4 linked regions of the Rattus norvegicus genome follow. The protein of the gene in region 1 binds, or shares a complex with, the protein of each later gene. Links are inferred from orthologs where the notes say so. Each region holds a gene or a part of one and is shown in the gene's direction. Other genes may lie near its edges. The genes, in order: Rad9a, Hus1, Rad1 and Rhno1.

Region 1 (7,398 bases):
CAGCCCTCTGCCTCTGCTGGAATTAAATGAATGCCCATCAGGTGTAGTTTAACTCAGGGCTTTTGAATGTCAGGCAAGTGCTGTACTTAGAGCTACATTCTAGCCCTTTATTTTTTCTTTCATCTATTGTTAGTGTGTTTGAGATTGCCAGCACTTGGGGAAGTCAGAGGACAGCTTTCAGGAGTCTTCCTCTGCCGTGGATGATGGCTGTAGAGCTCACGTCCTCCGGATTGCAAGCATCTCATGCCCCACCCCCACCAGCCCTGGCTCACCTTGAACTTTCTCTAATCTCAACAGGCCTTGAATTGTCCTTTTTTTCTTAGAATTGTTTATTATTTTATGTCTATGAGTACACTGTAGCTGTCTTCAGACACACCAGAAGAGGGCATCGGATTCCATTACAGATGGTTGTGAACCATCATGTGGTTGCTGGGATTTGAACTCAGGACCTCTGGAAGAGCAGTCAGTGCTCTTAATCTCTGAGCCAAATTCAAATCCCTTGAATTTTATTTTTTTTAACCCTCCTCCTCTTGAATTTTCAGTCTTTCTACCTCAGCCTCCCAAGACCCTGAGATTACAAACCTATGCGACCATGCCTATAGTTACATTTTGGGAGGCTAAGTATGGGAAGAGTAGAATTATCAGGAATGGGGGCACTGTGGGCACAGGGTGGAGGGTGGCTTGAAGCAGTCAGGCTTAACTGTGCCACATATTCAACTTCGTTCTTTTCTTTTCAAGATGTACTTATTGTATGTGCTCTATCTGTACACCTGCATGCCAGAAGAGGGCATCAGATCACCATGTGGTTGCTGGGAACTGAACTCAGGTCCCCTGGAAGAGCAGCTGAGCCATCTCTTTAGGCCCTCCTTTTTTTCTTTTTCTTTCTTTCTTTCTTTTTTTTTCTTTTTTTTTTTTTTTTTCCGAGACAGGGTCTTGCTATGTGGCCCAGGCTGGCATCTCAAATTCTCAAAGTCCTTAGTGGTAGGATTATAGGCATGAGCCACCATACCTGGCTTAACACCTATTTATTGATCCTAAGCTGTGTGTGACGCACACAAGACAGAGCAACAGACAAAACTGATGCAGTTCCAGCCCACGTGTAGTAGCCACAACAGCAGGGAGCACAAGTATTAAACACAGGAAAACTGATAGGCACCATGGAGTGTTCTGTGCCGAGGGAATCTTTGCTGTTGAGCCTAGGAAGAGAAGCCAGCATGGGAAAAGCAGGCCACAGCCTTGGAAGCAGCCAGAGTGACAGCCAAGGGCCTGACAGGACTTTGGAGATAGGTGATCAGAGGTAGGATACAGTGAAGACATGTGGGACCTGGATCCTGAAAGTTCCAGATTAAGAGACCAGACTTTGGAGAGTTAAGCTGGTGGAGGCAGATCGCTGAGGACAGTGGAGACAAGGAGGGCCACTTTGCCGTCTGTTTGGTAACAAAGTAATCAGAATCCACTGAAGAACTGATCAGATGAGGAGGAGAGGATGCTAACAGCTAACTCCAGTCTAACAGTGAACTGGACGCCTCTATGTTGCTCACACTGGTTGCCTTGGATGTGGAATGGGAAAGCAGTCTCCTCCCCGGAGGCTTTAAGAAAGGAGAAGCTAGAGAGGGAGAGGAGCCTAAAAAAGAGGAGTTAGATAACTAATACAGACTTCCCGTTAACCCACAGGACACAGCAGGGAAATGCAAGTGTTGCTCTAGGCTGTTCTTTTCACACTTGAAGTAACTAAAACCCAGAGAAAGTTGAATGCATCCCAGCTGATAGCCCTCATCCTTGACACTGTCTGGGTAATTGGTAACGTGTACACAAACTACGTGTAGTGCTTAAGCCTTTCCACGACTTCCCAGTTCATCCCTTCAGCCCTGACGGGCTCAAGGCTCGGGACACTCCACCCAGCCATATGGTCCTACCCCATTGTGCCTCTGCTTCTGACAGACCCATCCTTCTACCCTTTTCTGTCCCAGAACCTTCTGATCTTTCCGTGTATTTATGAAGGTCAGTGAAGGATCCTGAAATCAGAATGAACAGCCTCTTTTCATGGTTCTTGAAGCAAGTTACGTTAATTTTTTTTTTTTTTTTTTTTTTTGAGGGGAGCTGGTGGTTGCTGCCACAACAGAATCATCCCTGGCCCTGATTGAGCGCGAACTTTCCTTGACCCTGTAACCCCACACACTAAAGTTAGTGACTCCAGAGGGTCTACTCTTCCCATGTTCGGACTCTGGTCCAGAACTCGATCCTTGGTGCAGGCACCTTGCTCCTCGGAACTGCATCTAATGTGGGAGCCCGGTGGAGCAGCAGAACTCTGCAGGGTGGGAAAGCCAGACCCGATGAAGGACGCAGGAGCGCTCCCTCCGTAGTCACGTGACCCAGGCCACACCCAAGGAAACGACTGAATCACGTGGCGCCGAGCTTAGGAACGTTTTTCTCACGTGACGGAGGAACCCCGGGTGGACCAATAAGGAAGCGGAGGCCAGGCTGGCGGCGGGGAGGGGACGGTGCGCGGGAAGAGAACTTTAGGCATTCCTAGTAGCTGCTGGGACTCGTTGTGGGTTGTATCCCGTCCCGGTCTGGTTGTAAAACAAGCTCGGCCTCAGTGTTTATGTACCATGAAGTGCCTGATCACTGGGGGCAACGTGAAGGGTAAGTTTAGACCTGCTTTGCAGCAGACCATGTGAGCAAGCCCCTGGAGTCCCCCTAACCACTTTCTGCTCTCCTTCCGTAGTGCTGGGAAAGGCTGTCCATTCGCTATCCCGAATCGGGGACGAGCTCTATCTGGAACCCTTGAAGGACGGGGTAAGAGACTGGGACGCAGGGATGGGGGCCGATTCAATGGCGAGTGGGGAGCCTAGGCTTGGCGTTCACTCGGCCTTACAGGGTGATGGTGGACAGGTATTTCGGCTCAGTTTATTTCCTCTTGAGTTGTTGGGACATCAGCTTGGGCCCTGTCTTCTGAGGCTGCATGTGTATACAGAGGGCACTTAACTCTTCCTAGAGCGCCTTGTGGCAGGCAAGGTGGGGCTAAAGTAACTTAAGGGAAAAACAAGCATGGCAGACCCTGAGCCGCGGAAGACTGGGAGATCTACATGCAAGAAGGTCTTGCCACACAGAAAGGGAAGGGGAGTTTCATTAGGAAGCGATGGAAGAGAACTGCCGCTGGATGAAATGCAGGGCATTTAGTGAGCCTGACGTGGCCCCTGACTATTATCTTCCCTGCTTTTTGTGCCTCAGCTCTCCCTACGGACTGTGAACTCTTCCCGTTCTGCCTATGCCTGCTTCCTCTTTGCCCCCCTCTTCTTCCAGCAATACCAGGAAGCTTCCCCTGGTCAGGATCTGCTGCGCTGTAAGATCCTGATGAAGGTAAGGACCACCTGAAGCATCCACAGCTGTGCCTGTGTCAGGTACTCAGTAAATGATGACTAGGGAGTTAGTCTCATATGGGAGCTAGTCCATGCAAAATGCAGTGAGGTCGAGATGTTTAGACTCTAGAGGGTTATAAGAGCACTGGAGAGGGTGGTGACATTCAGGTTGGTCAAGAAAAGTTTAGCAGCCCTTCCCAGCAAAGAGAACAGCATGGACAAGCCTGGTAATGTGCAGACATCCTGCATGCAGTGGGAGCCCCCTTTCACAGCTTTGTTGGGCCAGTGATGGACCAGGGCCTACATGGGATGTAGAGCTGGTCCATGGAAGCAGAGTGCCAGGCCGATGTCCTACCCTGCCCAGTCCTTCCTGTCCGTCTTCCGCTCTCTGGCAACGGTGGAGAAGACTGTGGAGAAGTGCTGCATCTCCCTCAGTGGCAGCAACAGCCACCTGGTGGTCCAGCTTCACTGCAAATATGGTGAGCAGGCAGCTGGCCAGCTAAGAGTGGGGGAGTGGAGTGAAGGCTGTCAAGCCCACTGAGACCATTTCCCCTATCCAGGGGTCAAGAAGACACACAACCTCTCCTTCCAGGACTGTGAATCCCTGCAGGCTGTCTTCGACCCAGCCTCATGCCCCCACTTACTCCGCACCCCAGCACGGTGAGCATGCCTGCTTCGGACTTCACCTGAGTCTCTCCCACCTTTGGGGCCTTAAGTGTTATTCTAGGATATCTCACTCTCAGAATGAGATGAGGATGGCGAGTGGGGAACCTAGGCTTGGCGTTCACTCGGCCTTACAGGGTGATGGTGGACAGGTATTTCGGCTCAGTTTATTTCCTCTTGAGTTGTTGGGACATCAGCTTGGGCCCTGTCTTCTGAGGCTGCATGTGTATACAGAGGGCACTTAACTCTTCCTAGAGCGCCTTGTGGCAGCAAGGTGGGGCTTCCCACCTCTGGATGGAGGTGGGAAGGTCAGAAGTTTCAAGGCCAGTGAGTTTCTAGGCTAGCCTAGGTATTATGAGACAGTCTCAAAAAAGGGTGCATATGCTGGGGAGATAACTCAGTAAATGTGTGATGTACAAGCATGGGTGCCTGTTCCGAGTCCTCGCTTAGATAAGAATGTGTAATGTCAGTTGGCCGGCGGTGCACGCCTTTAATCCCAGCACTTAGCAAGGCAGTGGTTTTCTGTGAGGACAGCCTGGTCTACAAAGCAAGTTGCAGGCAGGCAGGCAGGCAAGCAGGGCTACAGAGAGAAACCCTGTCTTTAAAAAAAGGAACCAAACCAAACACCAAGATGGGCAGCACCTGAGAAGCAGCAGCACTGAGCATGTCTTCTGCCCTCTGCCCATGCACGTTCACACAACACAAAAGCACCTTTGCCTCTAAGGCGGAAACTCGGGGTTTCTGTGTCAAGGCCACACATCGCTTACCTTGCTCTTCAAGAACAGAAGCTGCTGTCTCTCGCCATTCCCACTGACTGTGGGTCCTGCCTTGTGTATCCCAGAGGCCTGCTCTGCTTGTCTAGAGAGAACCTATGACCTGCCTGCAGATCTCTTTTTTTTTTTTTAAACATTTATTATGTATACATCACACAGCTTTCTGCCTGCATGTATGCCTGCAGGCCAGAAGAGGGCACCAGACCTGATTGTAGATGGTTGTGAGCCACCATGTGGTTGCTGGGAATTGATCTCAGGACCTCCGGAAGAGCAGACAGTGCTCTTAACCTCTGAGCCATCTCTCCAGCCCCCTGCAGATCTCTTGTATGACCTGAATAACCCTGACAGCCTGTCCTTGACCCTGTGTCACAGTTTCAAAGCCCTCTGACCTCTCACTCTTCTGGTAGTGTCCCTCTTTTTTTTTTTTTTTTAAGATTTATTTATTTAATGTATGAGTATACTGTCCCTATCTTCAGACACATTAGAAGAGGGCATCAGATCCCATTACAGATGGTTGTGAGCCACCTTGTGGTTGCTGGGAATTGAACTCACAACTTCTGGAAGAGCAGTTGGGTGTTCTTAACCACTGAGCTATCTCTCCAGCCGGGTAGTGTTATATTCCTCTTATAGTGGCTTCTTCCTAACTGCCAGGGCTCTAGACTCTGGGCCAAAGGAAGGACCTGGGCAAAGAAGCTGGAGTCTAGGAGGGCTGCTGCACAGCCCGACAGCCCACGTCAAGACAAGGCATGGCAAGGAGAGTGTTCCAGCTGACATTAAGGTGGTCACTGAAGCCCAGAATGCAGTGGGTTCTCCCAGCATCCCCTGCCTGTGCTGGACACTGCATGCAAGTAGCCCAAGGTCCCACTCATTTCTCAGACTGAAGTCCCTTCAGGTCCCAGTGTCATCTTCCCCAGGGTCTGTTAATAGTGATAAGAGTTCCTTTTTGGAGGGGCTATTTCCCCCCTAAATACTGGCAACAGAACCCAGGACCTTGTGTTTGCTGGGTACTCTGTACCACTGAGCTAAATTAAATTCCCAGCCCTAACTGCTTCTCTTCCTCATATAGTTTCAATATAGAAGTCAGGATGGTGGCTCAGCAGTTAAGCCTGTTTCTTTTTAGCCTGACTGGTTGAGTTGTCAGGTTTTAAATCCCCAGAATCTACATGGTGGAAGAATGGACTCCCATGGGTTTTCTAGTCTCCACATGTGCACCAGAGCGTCGGAGCTGTTCTTCTCTCCACAGCACACACAGTCACAAAATAAGTTTTAAAAATTCAAATATAGGGGTTGGGGATTTAGCTCAGTGGTAGAGCGCTTGCCTAGGAAGCGCAAGGCCCTGGGTTCGGTCCCCAGCTCCGAAAAAAAGAACCAAAAAAAAAAAAAAATTCAAATATAGATGCCAGATACCCCACCTCCATCTCATGCTAGGGACAGAACCCAAAGACTATAGTCTTGAGGCAAATCTAGGAGTTACTTTTCTATAAACGTTCAGCATTATAAATCCTTAGAAGATGGGGGCAAGGCCTGGGTTGGTGTTCAACACCTTTAATCCCTGATATTGGGAAGAAGAGGTAGGTAGATCTCTGTGAGTTCAAGACCAGCTCAAGCTATATAGTAAGACCTATCGCTGTTCCACTTCTGGGTATGGGTGCAGGGTGTTGTTGAGCCCCTGGGTTGATATGTTGAGCCCCTGGGTTGGGTATGATAGTGCACACCTGTAATCCCAGCTCTCTCTCTCTCTTTTTTTTTCCCGGAGCTGGGGACTGAACCCAGGGCCTTGCGCTTGCTAGGCAAATGCTCTACCACTGAGCTAAATCCCCAACCCCATCCCAGCTCTTTTTAAGAGGTAGAGTTGGGCTGGAGAGATGGCTCAGGAGTTAAGAGCACTGACTGCTCTTCCAGAGGTCCTGAGTTCAAATCTCAGCAACTGCATGGTGGCTCACAATCATCTATAATGAGATCTGATGCCCTCTTCTGGTGTGTCTGAAGACAGCTACAGTATATCCATATAAATAAAAGAAATCTTAAAAAGTGGGGGGGGTAGAGTCAAAAGGCCAGAAGGATTGCTAAGTTTGAGGTCAGCCAGGGCTAAATGTAAAGAACCTGTTTTAAAACAACCCCCACCCATCCCCAAAAAAGTAGCTGGGACTAACAGCAATGTTGTCCTGTACCCAGCTTTGCTTTCCCCCACTTCCGAGCTCTCGTTCCTGGGTCCCTGAGCAAAAGGCTCTTTGCTCCCACAGCAACCTGCCTTGCCTGCCCCTCTGCTGTGTCTAGGCTTTGGTTTTACTTAGTCTGCGCTTCCACTGCCTTAAGAGCTTCTCACCAGGCAAGTAACATAAGAGTGGGCAAAGCATCTCGTGCACATCCGATGTTTGTCCTTGTCACAGGGTTCTGGCAGAGGCGGTTCTGTCCTTTCCCCTTGCGTTGACTGAGGTGACCCTGGGCATTGGCCGTGGCCGACGCGTCATCCTGCGCAGCTACCAGGAAGAGGAGGCAGGTGAGGGAGTTAGACCTGTCCCAGGAGGGCACAAGAGCTAGGAGTGACTCAAGGATGTTAACTCCTCTGTGCCTGCCACATAGATAGCACCAGCAAGGCC
Region 2 (7,185 bases), on another chromosome or scaffold:
ATGAAACAAAGCAAATGCCTTGGAACAATTATCTAGCCATCAAGAGGATGAAATTGCTTCTTTGTTTATTTCTAGACAATGTGATAAATCTCAAATACAACACGGTAAAATATTTACAAATGGGCAATGAAGCCATAAAAACCCTAGTAAACCCAGAGCTAATTCTTGGATGATATTGGATAGGGCCTACAGAGGCACAAAAATTCTACATAAATAACGGCACTGCAAATGAAATCTTCAGATGGAAACATGTCAGCCACTCACACCACACAGTCGCGTCTTTCTAATGCATTCTCAAGGCAGCAACACTAATAACCCTCCGAGGAAGTTCTAAGCAGTTAATCAGTCTGCAGAGTGTTCAACCTGGGTGCACCTTTTCAGGCAACACTGGCTCCCAAGGTCCACACCCACCAAATATTGGTTTAGTTCCTCCTGGGTTGGATGTGATTCTCCTTCTCGAGTCTCCATCCCTCTGCAGTTCGCCTAAGCGGTCTGCCATGTCTCACAAATGCAATTTTAAAAACCCAAGAAATTTTTATTTGACATGCACAAGATAAGGAGTCCGTTGAACGACTGCTCAAGTAGAAGCAAACTTCTTAGGTGCCAGTGGTCCTCAAAGAGACGTTTGCTCATGCCACCTCTACAGTCTAAGTTTTTGCCTCACAGTTTTCTTGTGTAGAAATTAAGACAAATATTGACTTCCAGATTTGCCGAAGAACTTCTGAGTGATGCCACATTCTTTCCCTCTGGGGCAATTTTTCCGACACTAACCGTTAACAAGCCTGCAAATAAATTAGTCTCTTCTCCCCCCTGAGACTAGTGAAGAAGGACTGACAGGCACTGCCATGCCAGCTTTGGGTGACAGTAAAGGCATGTAACCAACCCAGGTTGTATATCCCCGCAGCTCTAAGGGTCTTCTCTGACCTCTAGCTGTATACACTGAATAACTTTCTTTGTGTAATGTATTTCCTTTCCTGAGACCAGATCAGGTAAGATGTTTTCCTCCCCAGTAAGTAAACACAACACCAACATTGCTCCACAGATCCTCATGTGACTGAATTGCTTGCCCTGGAGGTTTGGCCTTTATAAAATCAAAAATCCATTTACTGGCTAGATGGAAAAAAAACAAGCAGACATTGCACTAGAAAATGCTCTGGCATATATGACTTCCGGAACTCTCTAGAGTGTTTTTTCTTTTGTCAACAAAATCATTTGGAAGGAAAATATGGAATGTCAATATATTTAATTATCAACTCTGAAATCACTGGCTTCGATTTCTAAACCTACTTAGCCTAATTGCTAGAATATATTATTAGCATTTTCTTCTATGAAAAGATTATCAGAGTTTTCTTATATTTTTGTTAAGTAAAATTCTTACGTTTCCTGAGACTCATCAGCAAGGAACATGCTGTCATCATCATTACATAAATCTCTTCTTAGGAATATTTTTAAAATGTGTTGCCATTTTATTACATAATATTAAGCTGTTTAAATTAAAGATCAGATATAATGGCCCTTCTTACAAAGTGTTTTTTTTTTTTTAAATACTGTCTTATGGAACTGGGGAGATGGCTCAGTGGGTAAAGTACTTGCCTTGAATCACAGGAAATCAGGCTCAAATCCTCACTTAGCACACGCACGTGCGCGCACACAGACACACACAGACACAGACACAGACACAGACACACACACACACACACACACACACACACACACACCCACCCCAAATGGATTTAGCTAATATTTGTAATTCTATTGCTCCTATGGTGAAATGGGAGACGGAAATAGATGAATCATCGGGAGCTACGTTTCAGCTAGCCTGGGTTATTCATCAGCTGACAGCAATGACAGACCGACTCAAACAAGATGGTTGTTTAGTACTGAAACCAGAGATTCCCCCTTTGACCTTCCCATGGGCTCCAAGGCATGGACGACCCTGTGTACATGCACGCACACACAGACAATACAGCCTTTAACCACACAATATATGTAACAATTACCTTACTTCTTGTGACATTTGATATTTCAAAGTTAATGACACTTGGCTTGCCAATCACTTCTATGTCGGAGTGTAGAGTATAGCTTCCTGTTATATATATTTTTCTATTTTTTACTTTCCCAGTAATTGCACCATCAGCTGTTTTATTAATATCTTAACTCTGTGTCTCAAGGTAAAGACAGTTTTTGGAAAAACATCTTTCTTTACTGTTTTTGTGTAGAAGTGAGCATGCTGATGCATACACAAGTCACATACAGAAGTCAGAGAACAACTTTTGAAATGACACCTGGGATTTCAGGGCCCAAACTCAGGCCTTCATGCTAAACACTTTTACCAGCTGAGCCGTCAGAATATTTTGTTTGGATATCTGGTGCACTGGAAAGAGTGCTTACCATGAAAGTGGGGAGCTGGGGTGGGGGACGTTAATCCCAACACCATTTTAAATTTTTACAGGTATAATCCTTGTAAAACCAAAATATTCTATTCTGGGTTTAAAATTCTTTTAAAACAATTCTAAGACTGCTACACTAAGAGGGCTTTTGTTTGTTTGTGGTACTGGGATTAGTGCAAAGGTCACAATCCTTTTCAGCAAGTCCACTCGTGTTCTCTCTTTCTCCTCTTTCTTCTCCTCTTTTTCTTCTCCTTTCTTCTTTTTTCTCCTCCTCCTCCTCTTCCTCCTCCTCTTCATTCTCCTCCTCCTCCTACTCCCCATCATCCTCTTTGTCCCCCTTCCTTCTTTCATTTTAAAATAATATTTGTTGGCATAATGTCATTAAGACATGCAGACAGGTCTCCAACCTGAGATCCTCTTGCCTAAGCACCCCCATTAGCTGGGGCTAATAAGTATTTTATAGGTTCCGTTCAGTTTCTTTTGAGACAAAGGTGCAGAATTATCACTTCACTACATCTGTTTTTAGAGGTAACTACTGAGTAAAGTGTTCAAAATTTAAAAAAAAAAAAGTTTCAAACAATTTTCAAAACATTAAAACGCTATGTTGCCAAGTATCTAAACTTTTCGGATCCGGTTCCCAGCAGCCTTCGGGGTGTGAGAGTGTGGGTGGACGAGCGAGCGCGCCTAACTTAATCCAGGGCAGGCAGTGGGCGGACCTCTCCGGCCGCACCGTCCCCCGCGGAACCACTGTGCGCGCGTCCGTGTTTCCCCACCGGGAAGCTCGGGGAGGGACTTTGGTACGCCTTGGACTGACGCCGCCCTCGGCCTGGTATCCGCCATGAAGTTTCGTGCCAAGATCGTGGATCTGGCTTGTCTGAATCACTTTACACGTGAGCTGGCAGGGCTTCGGGGAGCGGGCGGAGAGTGTGGCTGCAGCCCCTGTGAGAGGACTGGCGGGGTGAGGGCGGCTCTAAGAGGGAAGGAGGGTTAACGGGGACCTTTCCTTTGCTGCCCTCACTCACTCCTCTTTCCGCCCGGAGTTTGCCTAACCTTGCTAGCAGTTCTGTGCTGCGGTGTCTGACTGATTTTACGTTTCTGTGGAATGTACGCCCGGCTCCCGGTTGTCAGTTGTTTTCTGAGGCTGTTTCCTTATTCTGTTTCCGTCTTGAACTCTGGTGCTGTGGGCTGAGTCTCGCAGGATGTTGGGAGACTGGCAGGACGTCCAAAGGTGATTTGTGAGCTAGAAGTTCTTTCCGCAAGATGACCTATAGGACACTCAGTGTGCTGCTTAGTTAACTGTGTACCCCCTCGTTGTAGGAGTCAGTAACATGATAGCCAAGCTTGCCAAAACCTGCACCCTCCGCATCAGCCCAGAGAAGCTGAACTTCATCCTCTGTGACAAGCTGGCCAGTGGAGGCGTGAGCATGTGGTGTGAGCTGGAGCAGGTGAGCAGGAGAGCCCAGGTTACCCTGGTCTCCAGCTAAGCATGCTGGGAAGGCTACAAATGCCTGTTTCTGTCCTGCAGGAGAACTTTTTTAGTGAATTCCAAATGGAAGGAGTCTCTGAAGAAAACAATGAGATTTATTTAGAATTAACGTCGGAAAACTTAGCTCGAGCCTTGAAGACTGCCCAGAACGCCAGAGCCTTGAAAATCAAGCTTACTAACAAGCACTTTCCCTGTCTAACCGTGTCCGTAGAGCTGGTAAGTGGGAAGAAAAGGATTTCTGATTTTTTTTTACAAGTGCCTTGGTCTAGGCAGTATATAGATGGCTACCAGCCTGAGCTTTCAAACAATATTCATAAAAGTGAATTAGTTCTATTTAAAATATAAATCTGAGTCCAGAATGGTGGTACATGTCTTTAACGGCAGCACTCAGGAAGCAGAGATAGGAAGATCTCTGTAAGTTCCAGGACGACATAAAGACCCTGTATCAAAATAAAATAAAATAGAAGATCTGGTTCATAACTTATGCATGAGAAACGCGCATTGTTCTAGTCATTTATCAACAGTCATGATGGTACAATGTTCTATGAGATACAGCTTTTCCCAAAGAGTCAAACTGCTAACTAGTATCTCTTTCTTCTAGAGTGTTGTCACCTTGTCTAGATGTTTCCATTTTCACCTTAACATTGCCCCCTCGTATCCTGTCTTCTGTGATATTCTTAAACAGTCCTCATACTTCAGTAACACATTTGTCTTAGATGCTACTACCAGATGAGTGTAGTGCACAGCCTCTCCTCAGAACACACAAAAGCATGTGTATAAGATGGACTTTTTCATTCCTAACTTGTTCAAGGTCTTTCACGTATGGTTCAAGCAATCTTGGAGCCAAACCATCAATTATTAGCTTCTGAGTGCCTCTCTAGGTATGTCTTTTTTGCCCAACTCCCGTACCAGTGACATTGGTTGGGCTTTCCATGTGGAGTTTCTCTCCAGGACCTTCCCTTCCTTCAGTGCTCGCCCCAACCCACTTGGGTCTTCCTTATTTGTACAGCCTTCCTTTTTTACATGCTCTGTAGACCAATATTGCATTTGTTTTCAAGCTGTTAATTAATTTCAAGAAGTTAAATTGCATGCCTTCATAATTTGTATGTGTTCTTAGAGCATTCTGTGTAACTGTATGTTTGGATTTATTTAGTTCTTTTGTTTGTTTTGGTTTTTGAGTTTTTGTTTTGGTTTCTTTGTAGCCTTGGCTGTCCTGGAACTAGCTCTGTAGGCCAGGCTGGCCTCAAACTCAAAGATCTGCCAGCCTCTACTTCCCAGATGCTGGGACTAAAGGCATGCACCACTGCTTAGTGGATTTATTTAGTTTCTTAAGCAAAAGCGAGATGGTAATATTCGATACTTTTCTAAGTAAGAATGCAAGAATTTTCGTTTCTTTTTTTTTTTTTTTTTTTTTGTTATCTTGTTTTGATACAGATTCTCAGGATGTAGCCCTGACTATCTTAGAATTCACTATGTAGGCCAGGCTGAATTGAATTTACAGAGATCCACCTGCTTCTGCCTCGTGTGCACCACTGCCCAGCAGTACTTTGGTTTTCGAGTTTTAGAAATGCTTCTAGTAATAAACATGGTTTATCCTTTTAGTGTTGCAAAAGCTGCAGCACACCGAGGATGTGGCCTGGCGGATTTGCCTTTTTCTCTCTCCCAGGTTTACGAAAGCGGATGCTGTTCCTCTGACTGAAACCCTGTCACCTTACCTTCAGCTTCTTGACAGTCGTCTGCCTCTCTAGTGTTGATGTCCTCTGAGGCAGCACCCCAGAGGTTCTCACTTACTCCTCCCCACCATCACCTCTCGCTTCCTCAGCCTCGTTGCTGATGTGCTTTCCTCAGGCTCCGATGAGTATCCAGTACATCTGTGGTTGCCTGCTCTCTTGTCCATCCGTCTTGTCTCAGTCACCACACTGTTGGGAGACTCACAGGGCCCTGAGCAGAACAGGCACAGCACACCAAGAGCATTGATTGAATGCAGTTTGAGTGAACGGATTAAGAACATCCCAGTTGGACCGGAAAATGTTTAGCATCAGTTCTTGTGTTTTGGCTTTGTTTTAGCATTGTCAGCATAAACTGTTCTCTTTTTTTTCTTAACAGTTGTCTTCATCAAGCAGTAGCAGAATTGTGGTACATGATATCCCCATAAAGGTTATTCCGAGAAGACTGTGGAAGGACTTACAAGAACCCTCCATCCCAGAATCTGATGTAAGTGTTGTCTGCAGTCCAGTGCTTGAACACACAGTAAAGGGCAGGGTTTGAATTCTCTAATGCTAGTTGTTATCTTACAGTGTGTTTTATTTGAAGTTGTATAGTTTCTGAAAAAGAATGCGAGTCATTTAACAAGACTCCAGATGTGAGTAAGTGCCTTTCGCTATATCTGTAAATCCTGGAAAAGAACTGATACCCATTTGGAAATGGCACACTTTCCGTCCTGGAGGGCAAGTGCCTTTGCTCAGTGATGGCCTACATACAAAAGAAAACAGCCTAAGCTATGCTTTGGAAGACAATCTGTATTTATCATGACCCTTGGCCATAAGCACCAATGTTTCATAGGCCTTGATGAAGGAGTCAGAAAAGGCATTTTGTTGACTTGAAGCTTAGGTTGGCTATGGCACTTCTAGGAACCTCAGAGCCGTTGCAAGCAAAGAGGATGCCGACTGGTCCTCTGCCTTGCCTATGTGAAAGGAAATTACTCAGGTAGTGAATGAAATGTGCAGCTGACAGTCATCAGAAAGCGTCTGTATAGGTTGAGGGGAGCCAGCATTGCAGACGGCTCTGTAGGTAAGACAGTTCAAACGAGAGGTGATGCTGTCTGGCTGTACTCTTAAACACAGTACAGCAAAGACCCCTGAGTCCTATAAATGCTTCCCAGAGGAAGGCTTCCCGCTCAGCACTTGACGTGCGTTCCCCTTGGACCTGCGTGTGGGCATCTCAGCTGAAGTACTGTGTTCCTTCTCGAACCGTAACAATGCCCTTGGGAGTATGGTCGCCATGGTAACCAGAGCCAGGTATTCAGGTATCTTTACTTGCTTGACTAAGTTAGCGACGTTTTTAAAGTTTTAAAGCAACTTTATTTGGATTTTTTTTTTTAAAAAAATGTGATTCTGAGTTTTTAAATATGAGCATCATTCATAGCTGTTGATTGAATATCTGTCATTATAGACTATATTATGATTCCTAAGGCTTGTGATTTCTCCTACTCGTTTTTAGGTCAGTATTTATCTACCAGCCTTGAAGACAATGAAGAGTGTCGTGGATAAAATGAGGAACATCAGCAATCACCTTGTAAGTTATTACTCC
Region 3 (7,405 bases), on another chromosome or scaffold:
TAGTCAGGTCTATACACACAGTGTAAAGCACAATGCTAGCGTACCTGCTTTAGAATGAGGCATCAACATTCTCAAGTCTTGCATCAAGTGTCTTGTTCTGAAATTTATTCCTCTGGAAGAAAAGATGAGGATCCGCTCTTTATTTTTCCATTTGCCCTAAAGAAAAGAAAACGGTAGATTTTAACATTTTGTGCTGAACTTACTTCGTGTGTTTTTGACAGTTTTTCAAGTTTCCAGTATCAGGCATCATTGATATACTTCCTTAGTCCCAGTACTGAGGCTGAAGCAGGAGGACTTGGACCAGGACTTTAAGGCTGTCCTGGGAACATAGGCCAAGGTCTTAAAACGAAACGGACTACTTCACCACCCTCACCACTGCAAGGATCTTTCCTTAGCCCCCTAACATCTTTAACTTTTTATTCTCCCCATTACAGTTCCTATGTTCATTTCCAGTTTAACTGTACAGAAAGGCAAGACTCTTTCTAGCTTTAATTATACATGTATCAGACAGAGTAAAGCTTCAAACTCAACTCTAACACTAAACTTTACCAAGCCTAAACCTGCATATTTCCTTACCAATATTTCTTCCCCCCTTCTTTAGCCCTTCCCTCCTTCTGCTACCTCACTTCAGGGGCTCATACTCTGAAGATCCCATTTGCCTCTGGTTTCTCACAGACATCATAAGCACCACTGACCACTATCAGTTCCTCTTTACAACAGTTTGTAAAGCCTACAGTGTCCTTAAATCCCTATAACTGATTATCAACAGCTGCAAAGCTCTTGAATGCCTGGCTTTCCCAGACAGAATCACTGTGACAGCTAACTAGCACCAATTTAATCTTGGTTTCCAAACTTCAACATGGACTATAAAATGCATTTTCACTGTTTACAACACCACTGCCCAACACTGACCCTGCACATTCTCAGCTAATCAGCTGAGTTTTTAGATTTTCTCCACCAACCCTTACCCCCCATTTAATGCCTTTGATGAATTTTTTTCATCTCCCCCCCAATATATAAATTGAACCCTTTCTTTGAAATCCAGCTAAAAGGCTAAGTCCTACATGTTTCCTTACCACCCTAAAAGTAGTAATTGCCTCATTAACTTCAATTAATGTATCATAGTGTGACTCAGATTACAGTTCCCAACATGTTTCTGTCTGACTCCTAAAAGAGAGCACTGACTTTTATTGAAAACCTTATGAGTCCAGCTTATTTTTCGAAAAAGTCACTTTTATCCTTTCAGACAAGGGTATGAGATTTAGCTGTTAATTAAAACTGGGGTACAATATACACTGGCCTTTCACATTTACTTTTTACTTAGTACTAGAGTACTACACTAAGCACAAAGGTCAGAAAAGTCTGAGGCAAGATTTCCTCCATAAATATACCTTGCTTAAGGAGTTTTCAGGTGACGGAAAGTAACTCTAACAAGAACCTGCTCGCCTTTAGAATAAACCCAGTTTTCTATGAAGCCTTCTTTCCTGCTAAACTCCAGTATTTCTGGAGGAAAGAAATCTTGTTCATCGTCTCCTAGATGCCAAGGCCAGGAAAGCTCATCTTGGTATAAGTGTGACGCACTGTTGAGCACAGTAAAATTAATGGTCTAAGTTTATTATTATTGATAATATTATTATCCCGGGGTTGAGGATTTAGCTCAGTGGTAGAGAGCTTGCCTAGCAAGCGCAAGGCCCTGGGTTCAGTCCCCAGCTCCGAAAAAAAAAAAAAAAATACTATTATCCTTTGAATTAAAGATCTAACCAAACAAGTTGGACTCACAGGGACAGTAACTTTAAAGGCTTGGCAAACAAACTTTGGTAACCCCGTGTGATATGGACCAAGATGGAAGGAATTTATTGATACACCATAAAGACTTTGAGGAAAAAAAGAAAAAGAAAAAACATTACTCTGGGGAGGCGGGGGACCAGTAACCGGAAGGCAGAATATTAGAACTAAATACTCATTAAATTACCTCCCTGTTAGTTGGCTAAGGGTCTACGAACAGCGGTTTCCAGGAATACGGCCATCTGCACGAAAACTAGACATAACACTGTCCTGTCCAGTCAAGGGAACCTTAAGCTCATAATCCAGTCAAGTTTTGGTTGAAGTCACTTCGGTAGCTCAAAGGCGGGTCAGGAAGCCGACTCCAACTCCAGGAGTCGGGCCTCTTACCTTGCAAACAGGACCTGGAATACGATCTTTTTCTTCCTCCGCCTCTTTTGCCACATCGGCCTGCTTAGCTGGCTGCCCGGCATCTTTCCGGTTCTTTTTTGGCTTCTTTGCTTGAACCTCCAGGTCCCCACGCCGCTTTCTCTTAGTCGCCGCCATCCTGCCTCGCCGCGTTAGTTGCTGTCCACACTTCCGGTTCCGCCGCTCGCTCCTTCTTCCGATCTCTATGGTAGTGCACGCTGAGCCCTGAGTTAGTCATCCAGCTCTCAGACGCTTTCTTCCGGTCTTGTGGTAGACTATCTAGGCACCCGGCGGCTCGGTGGTGACGGTGGCCTGGTTGGCTGCGGGTCTGAACAGTGGCGGGAGCTGTTTGCCAGGCTTGCTGGCTTCTGGATTCTCAGGGTGTTCTTCTTGGGGCTAGGCTGACAAGGGCTTTACGGGATCGGACGTCACCTCAAAGGCAGGGGCCTGGCGCCCGGGGCTCCCCTTAGTGGCCGCTGTGCGGCGAGCGGGCTGGTGAGCTGGGTGACGGTCGGCGCCGCGGTCTAAGGTGTCTGTGGCGGGCTAAGGTTGGTGGCGCTCAGAGGGGCTAAGCAGGCCTCGTGCTCTTGTTACCCTGTAGGAACCCGCGCCAATTAGAACTACCCAGTGAATTGCATTTTCCGGCTGTATCAGACAAGGAAACCGTAGTTTTGAGACATGGAGATAGAATGTTCCCGATTTCGGCTCGGGTTGAGATCGCCAGTCCTGTTAGCACTGATCGCGGGGTTTGTTGTTCCGTGTCTCAGGTTTTCGGAGATCTTCCGGAAGAGGAGCATCCTTCTCTCTGAGCTGAACGTACAGTGGTCCACCCATGCCTCTCCTAACCCAGTACAATGAGGATGAGTACGAACAGTACTGCTTAGTGGCCAGCCTTGACAACGTTAGGAATCTCTCCACTGTCTTGAAAGCCATTCACTTCAAAGAACACGCCACGTGTTTTGCTACTAAAAATGGAATCAAGGTTACCGTGGAAAATGCAAAGTGTGTGCAAGCCAATGCCTTTATTCAGGTATGGGGGAGTGGAGACATTTTTAAGCATTCCCTAACGAGTTTAACTTGAAGGACTTATTCCATAAAACTCAAGTTAGAGAACAAAATGCCTACTTTTTTCTTTCCTGCCAACAAATACTTTCCCCATCTTGTCTCACACAGATGAACGATTACTAGTGACAGTTTATTAATGAGACACTCATCACCATTTACCTTTTATAGACACTTTATCTTTCCTATTTGACATAAGTGGCACCAGACTTAATTTTCAATAGTCTTATTTAGTTAGGATAACAACCGAGAATGTTTACTCTTTACAATATAATTATTGAAATGCATGTTTTAGTTTTTCCTCTTACTGGCTGTAATAGCATTTTTCCCCCCGAGGCAGTCTAACATATGGCCCTGGTTACCTGGAACTTGCTTTTGTAGACTAGATCGACTTCAAGTTCTTGGAGATCAGCCTGCTTCTGCCTTGTATTGAAGTACTGGCATCAAAGCCCCACCATCACCCACAGCTATAATCTATTCTTATGTAGTATTTGTATGAGTCAGGTCGGAGCTCAATGTTCAATTCATGTTTTTGAACGCTTGAGTATAGTATCAACTCACAATTATGTAGGAATAAATAAAACATGGTTTCTGTTTTCAAAAGAAATTGGAAATAATTATCATGCATGCATTATTAAATTGTCCTATCCTGAAGTGACTTTAGCTTTAACTGATAGGCACAAAAGACAAAGTTAGGATAAACTTAGTGGATTTAGATCCAGAAATGAAAATGAAGGACCCTTGCTGAGAGGGGTTGTCTTTGTGGTTTTTTATTTGGTTTTGGTTTTTACTTTTTAATTTTATGTGTAAGAATGTTTTATCTGCATGAATGTCTGCAAAAGGCATGTGCCTGGTTCCTGCCCAACCCAGAAGAGGGTGTTGGGTCACCATGGTGAACTATATTACTACTACTACTATTACTATTACTGCTATTACTACTACTACTACTATTACTACTACTACTATTACTACTACTATTGTTGTGGCATAAACATTTATTATGGTTAAATTGGTTACAGATGGTTTTGAGTCACCATGTGGGTGCTGGAAATCAAACGTGTTTTCTGGAAGTGTAGCAAGTGTACTTAACTGATGAGCCATCTCTCCTACTCCCTTTTAACCAAAAAAAAAATTCATACAATATATTTTCATCATATCCTACCCCTACCCCCTTCAGGAGCTTCTAAATGGGGCCTTAGTGTTACACCTTTAATGATTAAACCATCAAGTAGTATTCAAGTGATAAACATTGCAAAGTTAGCATGCCTTAGTTGGGAATGAGAAATAGTCTCATGGAGTTGGCACAGTATGGTTACTTTCTAAGCATAAAGTGAAATGTAAACTCTCATGTGTGAATTTTTCATTCCTTACTATGACCTCACTTTCATGTTTGCATGTTTGTTCTTTCCTAGGCTGATGTATTTCAAGAATTTATCATTCAGGAAGAATCCGTTACTTTTCGAATTAACTTAACTATCCTTTTAGACTGTTTATCTATTTTTGGATCAAGTCCTACACCAGGTGAACTATATTTCTACTACTACTACTATTATTACTACTACTACTACTGTTGTTGTGGCATAAACATTTATTATGGTTAAAAGCATAGAAAATACAGTAAGACTTCTGGGATATGAGCTTTTCTATGTTTTATTTATTTTTGGAGGCAGTCTTATGTATCCCAGCCTGGCCTTGAGCAGTCTGTATAACTGAGGATGACCTTGAACTTACCTTCCAGCCTTTGCCTCGACTGAGGAGATGATAAAGATAGGCAGCCACCTGTAGTTTTATGTGGTATTGGGGATTGAAACTAGCACTTAGTACATGTTAGCCAAGCTCTCTACTATAGCTGAGCTACAGCCCCAAGCCAGCCAATCCTTTGTTAGAAATCTAATTGCTCAGGGAAGACCTGGGGTCCCACTCCTAGTGGAGCTTTTGGCAGCTGGGAGCAGAGGAGAAAATCATTTCTTTGGAGGTCCTAGGGAGGGAACATTAACCTTAACCCTAACCCTAATAAGTAGACCCTAATAATTAGGGTGTGGATTTGTTTACATGGATTAAAATTTCAAAGAATAAAGGGAAACTAATTCTCAGCTCATTTTCCTCCCACTGATGACAATCATAAACATAAATATTCAGACTGCCAGATGAGTATTTGTTTACAGTTCTTTACATATTCGTGAAGGCATTCATTCATCTTAGTTCATCTTACTATGCAGGGTAAGTTGTTACCTTCCTTGTTGCTGTAGAAAAAAATGACCTACAAAGCAGTTTAGGTTTATATCAGCTCACAGTTGGAGTGTTTAGGCCATGTGGCAAGGAAGGGCTTGGAAGCAAGGAAAGAGCGTGAGGCAAATGCTCACATTGTCCACAGTCAGGAAGCTGGCTCTCTTATTCAGTCTAAGAGGGAAGCCCTTAAAGTGGTGCTACCTACATTTAGGGTGGGGCTCCTACAACCTCATCCTGATCAGGAAACTCCCTCATCACAGATGTGCCTGGGGGCTTGTTTCCTAGATGATGCTAGAGCCTGCCAAGTTAACAGTATTAGTTATCACAGTGCTCTGAGAGTTGGCTCAGTGGTTAAGAGCACTGACTGCTCTACCAGAGGTCCTGAGTTCAATTCCCAGCAACCACATGGTGGCTCACTACCACCTATAATGGAATCTGATGCCCTCTTCTGGTGTGTCTGAAGATAGCGACAGTGTACTCATAAATAACTTGAAAGAATTTTTTTGTAAAAATTTTAAATCAAAAGACTTTAAAGTCTTAAAATATCTTTAGCAATGTGAAATATGTTTTAATTACATATTTATTCTAACTTACTCAGAATTACTTAGAGGCAAAGAGAAGCAAATTTTTGCTGACTCCCAGTTGACCGTTGACTAGGAAATTCAGTTACCCTGTATATAAGTCCAGAAGGATCCCAAAAGAATCCGAGAATTGCTTTATTTCATTGGGAAGTAACTCATGGCTTTGCACTGGCAGGTCCATAATTAAGTTTTGGTTTTGCAGGGTCCTGAGTATAACTCAGGTTGGCCTTAAACTTGAGGTATGCCTGTCTTAACTTCTGAGTGTTGGGATTACAGTGTACTCTGCCATACAATGTACCCTAGATGACCTGGAACTTGCTGTGACCCCCTAGGATTGCAAGTCTTAGTCGTGATCTGTAGCTGGGTCCAATTTCACACTTTGAGCAGATGAGATAACTTATTAAAGTGCTTACCAAGGGAGCTCAACAAAACCTGAGTTTGATTCCTAGGTCCAATGGTAGAGAGGACCAATTCTCAAGAGATTTTCTATGACATCCATGAGCATGTATGTCATGTATATATGTATTCACACTCATAGCCATCATACACATATAGTAAATACATGTTTTTAATTATGCATTTACAAATGCAATGTTCCTCAGCTCAGTTTTTCCTGAGAATATTTGATTTCCCATATCCCTGACTTGCTCTCTAACCAGTAGGAAGGAGCAGGATATTTTATATCCCTCCTCTGTAGGGATTTGACGTGTTAAATTACATCACCAATGACTACCCTCTATTGCTATCAAGTTGATTTAAAATAATACTGTATCTCAATAAGAGGCATTGTGTATAAGAAGTGGGAAAATCATTTCGTCAAGTTGGGTTTTGCTCAGATTCCCAGTTTCCTTGGCATTATTGGAATTAGGTATCTTTAAGAAGAGTCAGACATGCTAGAAGCTTGGGAGATAAATTATTCTTGAGGTAGCATGTGTGGCATTTGGAGGGAACGCTAGCCCCAGAGCCACGGAGCTAAGCCCCACATGATTTATTTTACTGCAGGGACTTTAACTGCACTTCGGATGTGTTACCAAGGTTATGGTCACCCACTGATGCTATTTCTAGAAGAAGGAGGAGTAGTGACGGTCTGCAAAATTACCACTCAGGAGCCTGAGGACACACTGGATTTTGATTTCTGCAGCACCAATGTTATGAATAAAATTATCCTGCAGTCCGAGGGACTCCGGGAAGCCTTTTCTGAGTTGGACATGACAGGTGATGTCCTACAGATCACCGTGTCTCCTGACAAGCCCTACTTCAGGTACGACAGTGCAATTACCCCTGATGTGGTCTGGCATGGACCCAACCTCCATGCAACATTGAGTTGCGTTGAGTTGAGGTTT
Region 4 (7,363 bases), on another chromosome or scaffold:
AACTGGAAGTGTTCCTCTGCATGAACAGACAGAAGCAGAAGCTCAAAGGCCCAGGGGAATCCTGCCTGGACCTTTGTCCAACCCTCAGACAATAAGGACAGAAGCTAGGTTTGATGCACACTTGTGATCCCAGCACCTAGAAGGTTTAAGGTCACCCTTAGCCAGAGAGTGAATTCAAGGTCAGCATGGGCCACATGAGACCCTGTCTCAAAAACAAACGAGCAAACAAGAACAAACAAATAAAGCCCTATCACTGACCAAGGAAAGCTGAAAACTGCAGCAAACACTTCAAGATGGGAACATGGGACTGCACTGAAGTGCATGGTCCCCTGTAAGCTTAAGAATGTTTGGCCAGGCTGAGAATGTAGCTTAGTAATAGAGTGCTTGCTTAGCAAGGCCCTAAGTTCAGTTCCCAGTACTACAAAAAGGCAAACAAACTAGAAAGATTTGGGAGGGAGGGGAGGCTGGCAAGATGGCTCAATGACCGAAACCATCAGCTGCTAAGCCTGGCCACCTGCATTCAGTCCCCAGGACCACGATGGTGGGAAGAGAGAATCAGCTCCTGACTGTTACCCTCCAACCTCCATACATGTGCTGTGGCATGTGGGCAACCCTCCTCCCCAACCCCCGCCCCAGTAAAAATGCAAAAACCTCTTTTTGAATGTTTGGCCAGAGGAATACACATCTACAAGAATGTGGAAATACCAGCCACTGTCCACTAGAATGCAGGTCACTCTCGATGACTGTAGGGACGAATGAAAGACTCTACCCAAGCCATAGTCCTAGTGCCCTTTTCTTTCCGTCTCAAATAATGCAGCTGACCTACACGTCTGATTCTCCTGCCTCCACCTGCCAGAATCACAGGTGTGGCTACAATGCCAGGTTTAGGTAGTGGTAGGAATTGAACCTGGAGCTTTGTGAATGCTTGGTAAGCACACTACAATTAAAAACTCCAATCCTCTTGAATTAAAAATAATTTTTTTCAATAGTTGTCAATAACCACTGAGCCATCTCTCCAGTCCCATTCTTTCTTTCAAAATCTGCAAAGCATTTGCACAGTGACATTTTGGTACTTGAGAGTAACTATATTTTAGTTTTATAAGTATAATACTTGATTTTTCTGCTTCTAAAGACTGTAATACAGATCTTCTCCATACCAAAATGTGCTATCATTAATATGCTTAAGGTGGCTTTAATTTTTGAGATAGCGTCTCATGTAGCCCAGGCTGGTTTTGAACCACTGAGCCTTTGGCCCCCAATTTTCTAGGTGCTGAGATTACAGGCATTCACCACTATGCCTGGCTATGCTAAAGTCACTTTGAAATGCTAAGGAAGGAAGTCTTTAGAAAAAGCATTTCATAGGTTTTTATAGATAGATAGAATAATTTATCATTAAATTAAATCCTGCCACTCCATTTTGCAATCCTGCGAGAAAGGGAGAAACAGCCGGCACTTTAGGAAACCTTCCAAAAAGTAATTACACTTTTTTGACATTTGCCAGCTGCTTAGCCTTCTTAGGTCCCTTCCTCCCTGTAGCTTTCTCTCCTTTATACTTCGTTCTCTCGACCTTCAAATCTCAGTTCTCGTTTTGCTTCACACTGCACCCACCCCAATCAAATGGTAGACACCCCCCACCATAGGGTACCTCTCTCTTTGACCAGCCTTTTCCTAACACTCCCAAAATCTTCTAGCGCAAGGCGACTTGCAGAGCCATCCCCAAAGACCCCATTCTCCACACAGAACCGGGAACCTTGCAACGCTCAGCTAGGATCCCACCCTGCAGCTGTGGAGGCGGAGGCAGGGTTGACTGCAAGTGCAGACTCAGAGGGCAGGCCTGTTCCCAGGGTCCCGGGGTGCTCGGAGAACGCGGCGGGAAAGCCGAGGCCGGCGGCTCAGACTTTCTTCCTGGCGGTCCTCAACACCCCCTCGCGCCCCACAGCCCCGGCAGTCCCGACTCCAAGCCCTCCCCGGACCGGGTCGCACCCCACTCACCTCACAGGCCACCGCTGCTCCACGCGGGGCCGAGCCAGGCCAGGGCGGGCGGGTCCCGGCGGGACGGCCGGGGTGGGAACCCGGGGCGGGGTGGGGGGTGAGCCCGGGCCGGGGGTGGGTCCCGCAGCGCCGCTTTCAGTTGTTCCGCTGTTTGAAATTGGCGCCGGCGGAGCGTTGCGGTCACGTGACGGAGCGTCGCCAATCGGCACCGGCTTGTCTCCGGGTTCCGGCCCCGAACGCTCGGCGTCCTGAGGAGCGGCGGCCGCGGCCGGGAGGGCGGGTAAGGGGGCCCCGGAGCTCGAGGGACGGCGGGAGGGACGCGGGGACGCGCGGACCGCGGCCAGCAGCCTGCTCCGCCCCGCCCCGGACCGCCCTGCCTCCGTGGTCGACTTCCTTCCGGGGCAGCGTACGCCACTCCCCCGGTTAGCTACCCACTGGGCTACCTCTGGATCCACCGCGCGGCTCAGCCCTCGTTGCTGCGTGGGGTCCAGCTTGGGTTTCTGTCCCCAGACTTGCGGTTAAGTGCCCTACGCCCCGCCCCTGTCTGTGGCCGCCTCCACCTCGGGCCCAGCCCCGAGGTGTCCGGACGATCTTTTTTCCATACTTTACGAAAGAGTGGAAGGTACAGTGGCAGACCGGGCCGTCCTTCCCCTGGGCTCACCGGTGGTCTGATGGAGAGGGAGCCCAGAATGAGATGAACAGATCGGTAGAATTCTAGCTACAGAGGAACAGGTTAGAGGCCGGTGGGTTTTGTCTGACCCCGGGTATCCCCATGTGTAGAATTCTCGATTCTCGTGTTTCCGCCTTCGGAGTAGCCCGGGTCACTGGCTCGCCCTCCCGCAGCCGCCAGTGATAAATTTGAGTATTTATTTTAACGAGAAAATCTTGACTTAGGGCAGGAAAGCCTTTCTTTTTCCTTTCTTTCTTCCTCTCTTTTTCCTTCCTTCCTTCCTTCCTTCCTTCCTTCCTTCCTTCCTTCCTTCCTTCCTTCCTTCCTTCCTTATGAGCTGAGAACAAGGTGTAAGATCTGTCACCCATTACACAGAAGGGAAGGAAACATTGAAGCAGCTAGATTAAGAAGGGAGATGTTTGGGGCTGGGGATTTAGCTCAGTGGTAGAGCGCTTGCCTAGGAAGCACAAGGCCCTGGGTTCGGTCCCCAGCTCCGAAAAAAAGACCAAAAAAAAAAAAAAAAAGAAGGGAGATGTTTTGACTGGAGGAGGCTAGGCTGGTGAACACAAAGGCTGAAGGTCACAGGGATTTGAACTAAGACTTAGGGGGCGTGGTATGCTATGAGATGGGGAGCAGATAAAGACTGTGTTTGAGAGGTGAACAGGTTAGAGGCTGGTGGGTTTTCACTGACACCAGAATGTGGTGGCTCACGCCTTTAATCCCAGCACCCAGGAGGCAGAAGCAGGCGGATCTCTGTGAATTCCAGGCCAGCCAGGTATTCATAGCCAGCCCCAGGCTAGCCAAGGCTACATAGTAAGACTCTATCTCAAAATTAAAAAAAAAAAAAAAAGGCCAAGATTGTGCAAAACCTGACTTAGATTTTGTTTGGGTAAGTATATAAGAGCTTATCTAGATTAGACAGAGATGGGTGGGATATGGCCCAATTTCATGGGCTGTGGGCCTGGACTGACTAAAGAGAGAAAGCTAGCCGAGCAGGAGAGTTCATCTTCTTCCTGCCTGTTAAAGGGATGTGCCCAGCTGCTATGATTCCAGCAACAAAGGACTACCCTGGAACTGTGAACCAAAATAAGCCCCTCTTTCCTTCACTTGCCTTCCAGGGAATTTTATGATGGCAACAGAAAAAGCACCTAAAACAGTGGGGCATGCCTTGGGAACCAGCACTTGGGAGGTGGAGACTACACAGTGTATTTGAAGCCAGGCGAGGCTATGCAAGACCATGTCTCACAATAAGACGACTGGTATACAGCCGAGTGGTACCGTTATCGCCTAACACGCTGAGGCCTGAGGTTCAATCTGAAAACTGAAAGGAATGCATTTTTTTCAAAATCATGCAAGGGGAAAGATAGGGGAAACTAATAGATCATATATGGTCAGGATTGAACCAGCTGGGTACTAAGTACATGGGGCTCATCCCGTAACTCAGTTGACCCCTCTTTATGTTCTAGAGAATCTGTGGGCTGTTTTTTTTGTTGTTTGGTTGTTTGTTTGTCTTTTAACAAAACCTAGATGTGAGCCTAAGCTTCTATCTGAAATTCTGTAATGATTGATTACTCAACCCCCACCCCACTCTCATGTGGCCTCACTTGGTTTTCAGACTCAATGTTGACACCATGTTTAATATTATTTTTTTTGTCATTTATCCTTTAAAACTTTTATTAAAAACAGGGTCTCACTTTGTATCCCCCACTAGCAAGGAGCTCACTAAATAGATCAGGTTGACCTCCAGCTCAGAGAAATCTGCTCCTGAATGCTGGGATTTGAGATGGATGTTACCACCTCACCTACACCTAGCCTCTTTTCCTTTTTTATTTTGTTAGCTAGATAGTCACATCCTCATAGATAGTGACATTGTGTGTGAGGACACATGCCTGTGAGGACACACATGCCACACATGTGGATGTCAAAGGACATCTTTTGGGAATTAGTTTCGGCCTTCCGAGTTCTTGTGAGTTCTGGAGAACACACTCAAGCCCTTGGTTTTTGAGGCAAGTTCTTTTACTGCTGAGCTATCTTTCACTCAGTCTGCAATGACCTTGTGATTCTCTGAATTCACAAAACAGCGTTTTGGCTGTTTAAGGTTTCACGTGACTCAGGGTGGTCTCTCACTAGCCAAAGGCAACCTTGAGCCTCCTGATCCTCCTGTCTCCCTTCCCTAGGGCTGGGATCCTAGGCACGCCCCACCGCATCTGGTTTGGTTTGGCTTTTGAGAGCTTTTTGTGTGCAGCCCAAGCTTGACTTGAACTCCAGATCTCTTGCCTCAGGTGTGCTAATTAGCATGTGCCCCCAAGCCCTCTGTAACGGTCTTTGCATGTGGTGCACCTCAGCCTCCAGTGACCTTCCTGGCTTTTGCTTCTCCTGGTTCCTTCCACAGGTTAAGTGTCTTCCTACCCAGAAAGCCTTCTCTGACGAGAACTGAAGCGGACTGTGCTATACTGAGATGTGATTGTTTCCTTCTGGTTAGCTCTCTTCCTCTTCCTTTCCTTCTTCCTTTCCACGGTTCCCTCATTTGCAGTTCTGGGGACTGAAACCTGCAGCTTTGTGCACATTAGGCAAGTGCTGTACCACAGTGCCTCAAAAGCAGGGACCTCTGTGTCACTACAGGTACTTAGTACTCAGTACTGTGAATAAGTACTTGCCCATCTTTAAAGTCTTTAAATCGTAGCACTCAGTGTGTCAGAATACCATGAGTTCAGCGGGTGCTCACTGAGTGAGTTTTGTTGAGTATGGATAAGATCGTATGTTTCTCGTGGTTTGGTATAGGAAGCTGGTTTACCTACAACCTGAGGTCTGATTGGTGGTTTCTGATAGATTGGTTACCCTGACGTCATGAAGAATTGGGGGAGGGGTGCCACCCACATGATCCCCCCCCTTTGTTTCCTCTCTCCAGGCATGGTTTGCAACTGGACTCTGACCCAGACCAGGAAGGCAGCCTGCATCATGTTGTTACTAACTGTTCTTCATTTACCCATTGATGCCTCCCCGAAAGAGACGCAGACAGTGCCAGAAAGCCCAGCTGCTATTCCACCAACAGCCACTGGAGGGCCCCAAACCCCATTATGAATCTCACCAGCAGCCCATTACCCACACTGTACAGGTGCCCAGCAAACCCATTGATCAGAGCACCATCACTTCCTGGGTGAGTCCTCGCAATTCTTTGACCTTTGCTGTGTTACGTTTTTCAGAATCCTGACTCTTAATCCTTTTGGAGCAGGGACAGGGAAGCAGTTGCTCTTTCTGGCTGCAGTTACCTGATTTGTCTGGTATATCCTCTTTTCATTCACACTAAAATATGTTTTATATGGAATTGGAGTCTTCCTGCCAGGTTCCTCTGAAAAGTTCTGATTGAACACTTCACTCCCCAGTCACTGGGTGAAGAAGCTAAAAAAAAAATGACCAACTTATAAAAGATTACTTCCTGTATTTCATATGAAAAGTACTAGGTACTCTACAGTTGACTGAACTTTAGTGGAGAAACCTCCTACAAAGGTGGCGTGCTAATTCACGCAAGTTCATCGTTGGGGAGGCTGAGGCAGAAGGATCTCAAGGCAAAGGCCAGCCCGGACTTTACAGTGAGACTGTCTGACAAAAGAAATTCATACGCACTGACTGAATGAACATGCAGATTAGATCCCACACCTCAGCAGTCTCACTTACACGGAGCTGCCGGTCGTATTTGCTGAAGACCTTCCTGCCAGGCCCTCGCCAGGTGTTGGAGACAGTCCCTTTGTCCCTACCCTCTTGAGGGCGTGGTTTTGCTGAGGACTGAACTGAGTGTGCAGAGCATGTGTTCTGCTCCCGAGGACAGAGTTAAACAAGCTTGAGCAGTGGAGTGTGGTGGCCATGAGAGATGCCTGTCTCCTCTCCTGCTCAGGAGCAACTGGAAGAGCAGGGCGATTGGACAGCTGGCCCAGGTCCCTTGTCTTCCTGTTGTATCACATAGCTGGGTTTTTATTGTAGTGAGTCCTCACGATTCTGGACAAAAAATAAAGGGTTGTACATATTTACTATAGTTTCTTTGTAGTCGGCCCACCACCACCACCATCTTTCTTTTTTCATGCACAGGTGTTACCTCAGTTTGATACAGCAGCAGAAAGCCGGTTTCCAACACACCGGAAACATCACCGAGACCAAGCAAGACACCCAACTCGGAGATCTACCTGCAAGTTTCCACGTCTAACCTTTGAGAGTCCAGAGTCTTCGAGTTCAGAGACATTGTTGCTATCCAACAGAGAGCAGCTCCAGAACTCAGAAAAGGATGCTCCCAGAAGGCCTTTAGTGCCATTGTTCAGTCCCCAGAGCTGTGGGGAGCTGTCAGTGCACGTACCTCAAAGCTTACCTCATGTGTTCATGCCCCCCGATATCCAGACCCCAGGGTCTTCGGTAAGAGAAGATCCCATTTCCCCAGACCAGAAGGAAAACAGTCTTCCTAGCTGCATCCTTGGTCCTAGGACCCCCAGGACCCCGGAGCCGGGGCCTGTTCTGGTCAAGGACACCCCTGAGGAGAAGTATGGGATTAAGGTCACGTGGAGACGCAGAAGGCACCTGTTTGCCTACCTTAAGGAGAGAGGGAAGCTGGATAAAAGCCAGTTCCTTGTGAAGACCTGACTGGACTACACAGACTTCGGTTCACCCCAGAGCTGCTGCGGGGAGGTTTCCCAAGTCACTTCTGGTTTGAGAGGA

What was found.
Region 2: the proteins of Rad9a (region 1) and Hus1 are in contact, whole or in part, in a crystal structure (PDB 3GGR), measured with the Homo sapiens proteins. The link is inferred for Rattus norvegicus from reciprocal best matches to the Homo sapiens genes RAD9A and HUS1. Residues at the interface, in NP_004575.1 of Homo sapiens: Leu157, Pro158, Pro161, Val176, Ala186, Lys191, Ala192, Met193, Val194, Thr195, Glu196, Met197, Cys198, Leu199, Gly200, Asp203; in NP_004498.1 of Homo sapiens: Thr84, Asn87, Arg90, Ala91, Lys93, Thr94, Phe110, Ser121, Ser123, Ser126, Arg127, Ile128, Val129, Thr130, His131, Asp132, Ile133, Pro134, Ile135.
Region 3: the proteins of Rad9a (region 1) and Rad1 are in contact, whole or in part, in a crystal structure (PDB 3GGR), measured with the Homo sapiens proteins. The link is inferred for Rattus norvegicus from reciprocal best matches to the Homo sapiens genes RAD9A and RAD1. Residues at the interface, in NP_004575.1 of Homo sapiens: Leu76, Ser82, Val83, Ser86, Leu90, Lys92, Leu112, Phe116, Gly117, Val118, Arg119, Lys120, Thr121, His122, Asn123, Leu124; in NP_002844.1 of Homo sapiens: Glu165, Ala166, Ser168, Glu169, Asn195, Ala196, Gly197, Ser198, Ser199, His200, Leu201, Asp202, Tyr203, Pro204, Asp206, Ser207, Glu211.
Region 4: the proteins of Rad9a (region 1) and Rhno1 are in contact, whole or in part, in a crystal structure (PDB 8WU8), measured with the Homo sapiens proteins. The link is inferred for Rattus norvegicus from reciprocal best matches to the Homo sapiens genes RAD9A and RHNO1. Residues at the interface, in NP_004575.1 of Homo sapiens: Val41, Ser44, Arg45, Ser46, Ala47, Tyr48, Glu130, Leu132, Gln133, Ala134, Val135, Glu165, Tyr181, Glu183, Thr216, Phe217, Cys218, Gly244, Pro246, Val261, Leu262, Ala263, Thr264, Leu265, Ser266; in NP_001239428.1 of Homo sapiens: Thr88, Lys90, Phe91, Pro92, His93, Leu94, Thr95, Phe96, Glu97, Ser98.

Annotation. Positions count from the first base shown.
Region 1 is NC_086019.1:210,920,289-210,927,686, reverse strand, and holds the start of Rad9a (RAD9 checkpoint clamp component A), read left to right. Parts: upstream 1-2,525; 5' UTR 2,526-2,612; coding exon 2,613-2,646; intron 2,647-2,728; coding exon 2,729-2,799; intron 2,800-3,234; coding exon 3,235-3,363; intron 3,364-3,634; coding exon of another isoform or gene 3,635-3,726; coding exon 3,727-3,841; intron 3,842-3,922; coding exon 3,923-4,022; intron 4,023-7,188; coding exon 7,189-7,298; intron 7,299-7,381; coding exon 7,382-7,398. UniProt on the Homo sapiens protein: Component of the 9-1-1 cell-cycle checkpoint response complex that plays a major role in DNA repair. The 9-1-1 complex is recruited to DNA lesion upon damage by the RAD17-replication factor C (RFC) clamp loader complex.
Region 2 is NC_086032.1:87,913,160-87,920,344, reverse strand, and holds the start of Hus1 (checkpoint protein HUS1), read left to right. Parts: upstream 1-3,210; 5' UTR 3,211-3,228; coding exon 3,229-3,280; exon of another isoform or gene 3,281-3,618; intron 3,619-3,707; coding exon 3,708-3,835; intron 3,836-3,915; coding exon 3,916-4,092; intron 4,093-5,982; coding exon 5,983-6,090; intron 6,091-7,095; coding exon 7,096-7,170; intron 7,171-7,185. UniProt on the Homo sapiens protein: Component of the 9-1-1 cell-cycle checkpoint response complex that plays a major role in DNA repair. The 9-1-1 complex is recruited to DNA lesion upon damage by the RAD17-replication factor C (RFC) clamp loader complex.
Region 3 is NC_086020.1:61,186,316-61,193,720, forward strand, and holds the start of Rad1 (cell cycle checkpoint protein RAD1), read left to right. Parts: upstream 1-2,493; 5' UTR 2,494-2,738; intron 2,739-2,957; 5' UTR 2,958-3,022; coding exon 3,023-3,220; intron 3,221-4,664; coding exon 4,665-4,773; intron 4,774-7,064; coding exon 7,065-7,323; intron 7,324-7,405. UniProt on the Homo sapiens protein: Component of the 9-1-1 cell-cycle checkpoint response complex that plays a major role in DNA repair. The 9-1-1 complex is recruited to DNA lesion upon damage by the RAD17-replication factor C (RFC) clamp loader complex.
Region 4 is NC_086022.1:163,320,419-163,327,781, reverse strand, and holds the start of Rhno1 (RAD9, HUS1, RAD1-interacting nuclear orphan protein 1), read left to right. Parts: upstream 1-2,395; 5' UTR 2,396-2,724; intron 2,725-4,106; exon of another isoform or gene 4,107-5,139; intron 5,140-5,570; 5' UTR 5,571-5,654; coding exon 5,655-5,819; intron 5,820-6,745; coding exon 6,746-7,288; 3' UTR 7,289-7,363. UniProt on the Homo sapiens protein: Involved in microhomology-mediated end-joining (MMEJ) DNA repair by promoting recruitment of polymerase theta (POLQ) to DNA damage sites during mitosis.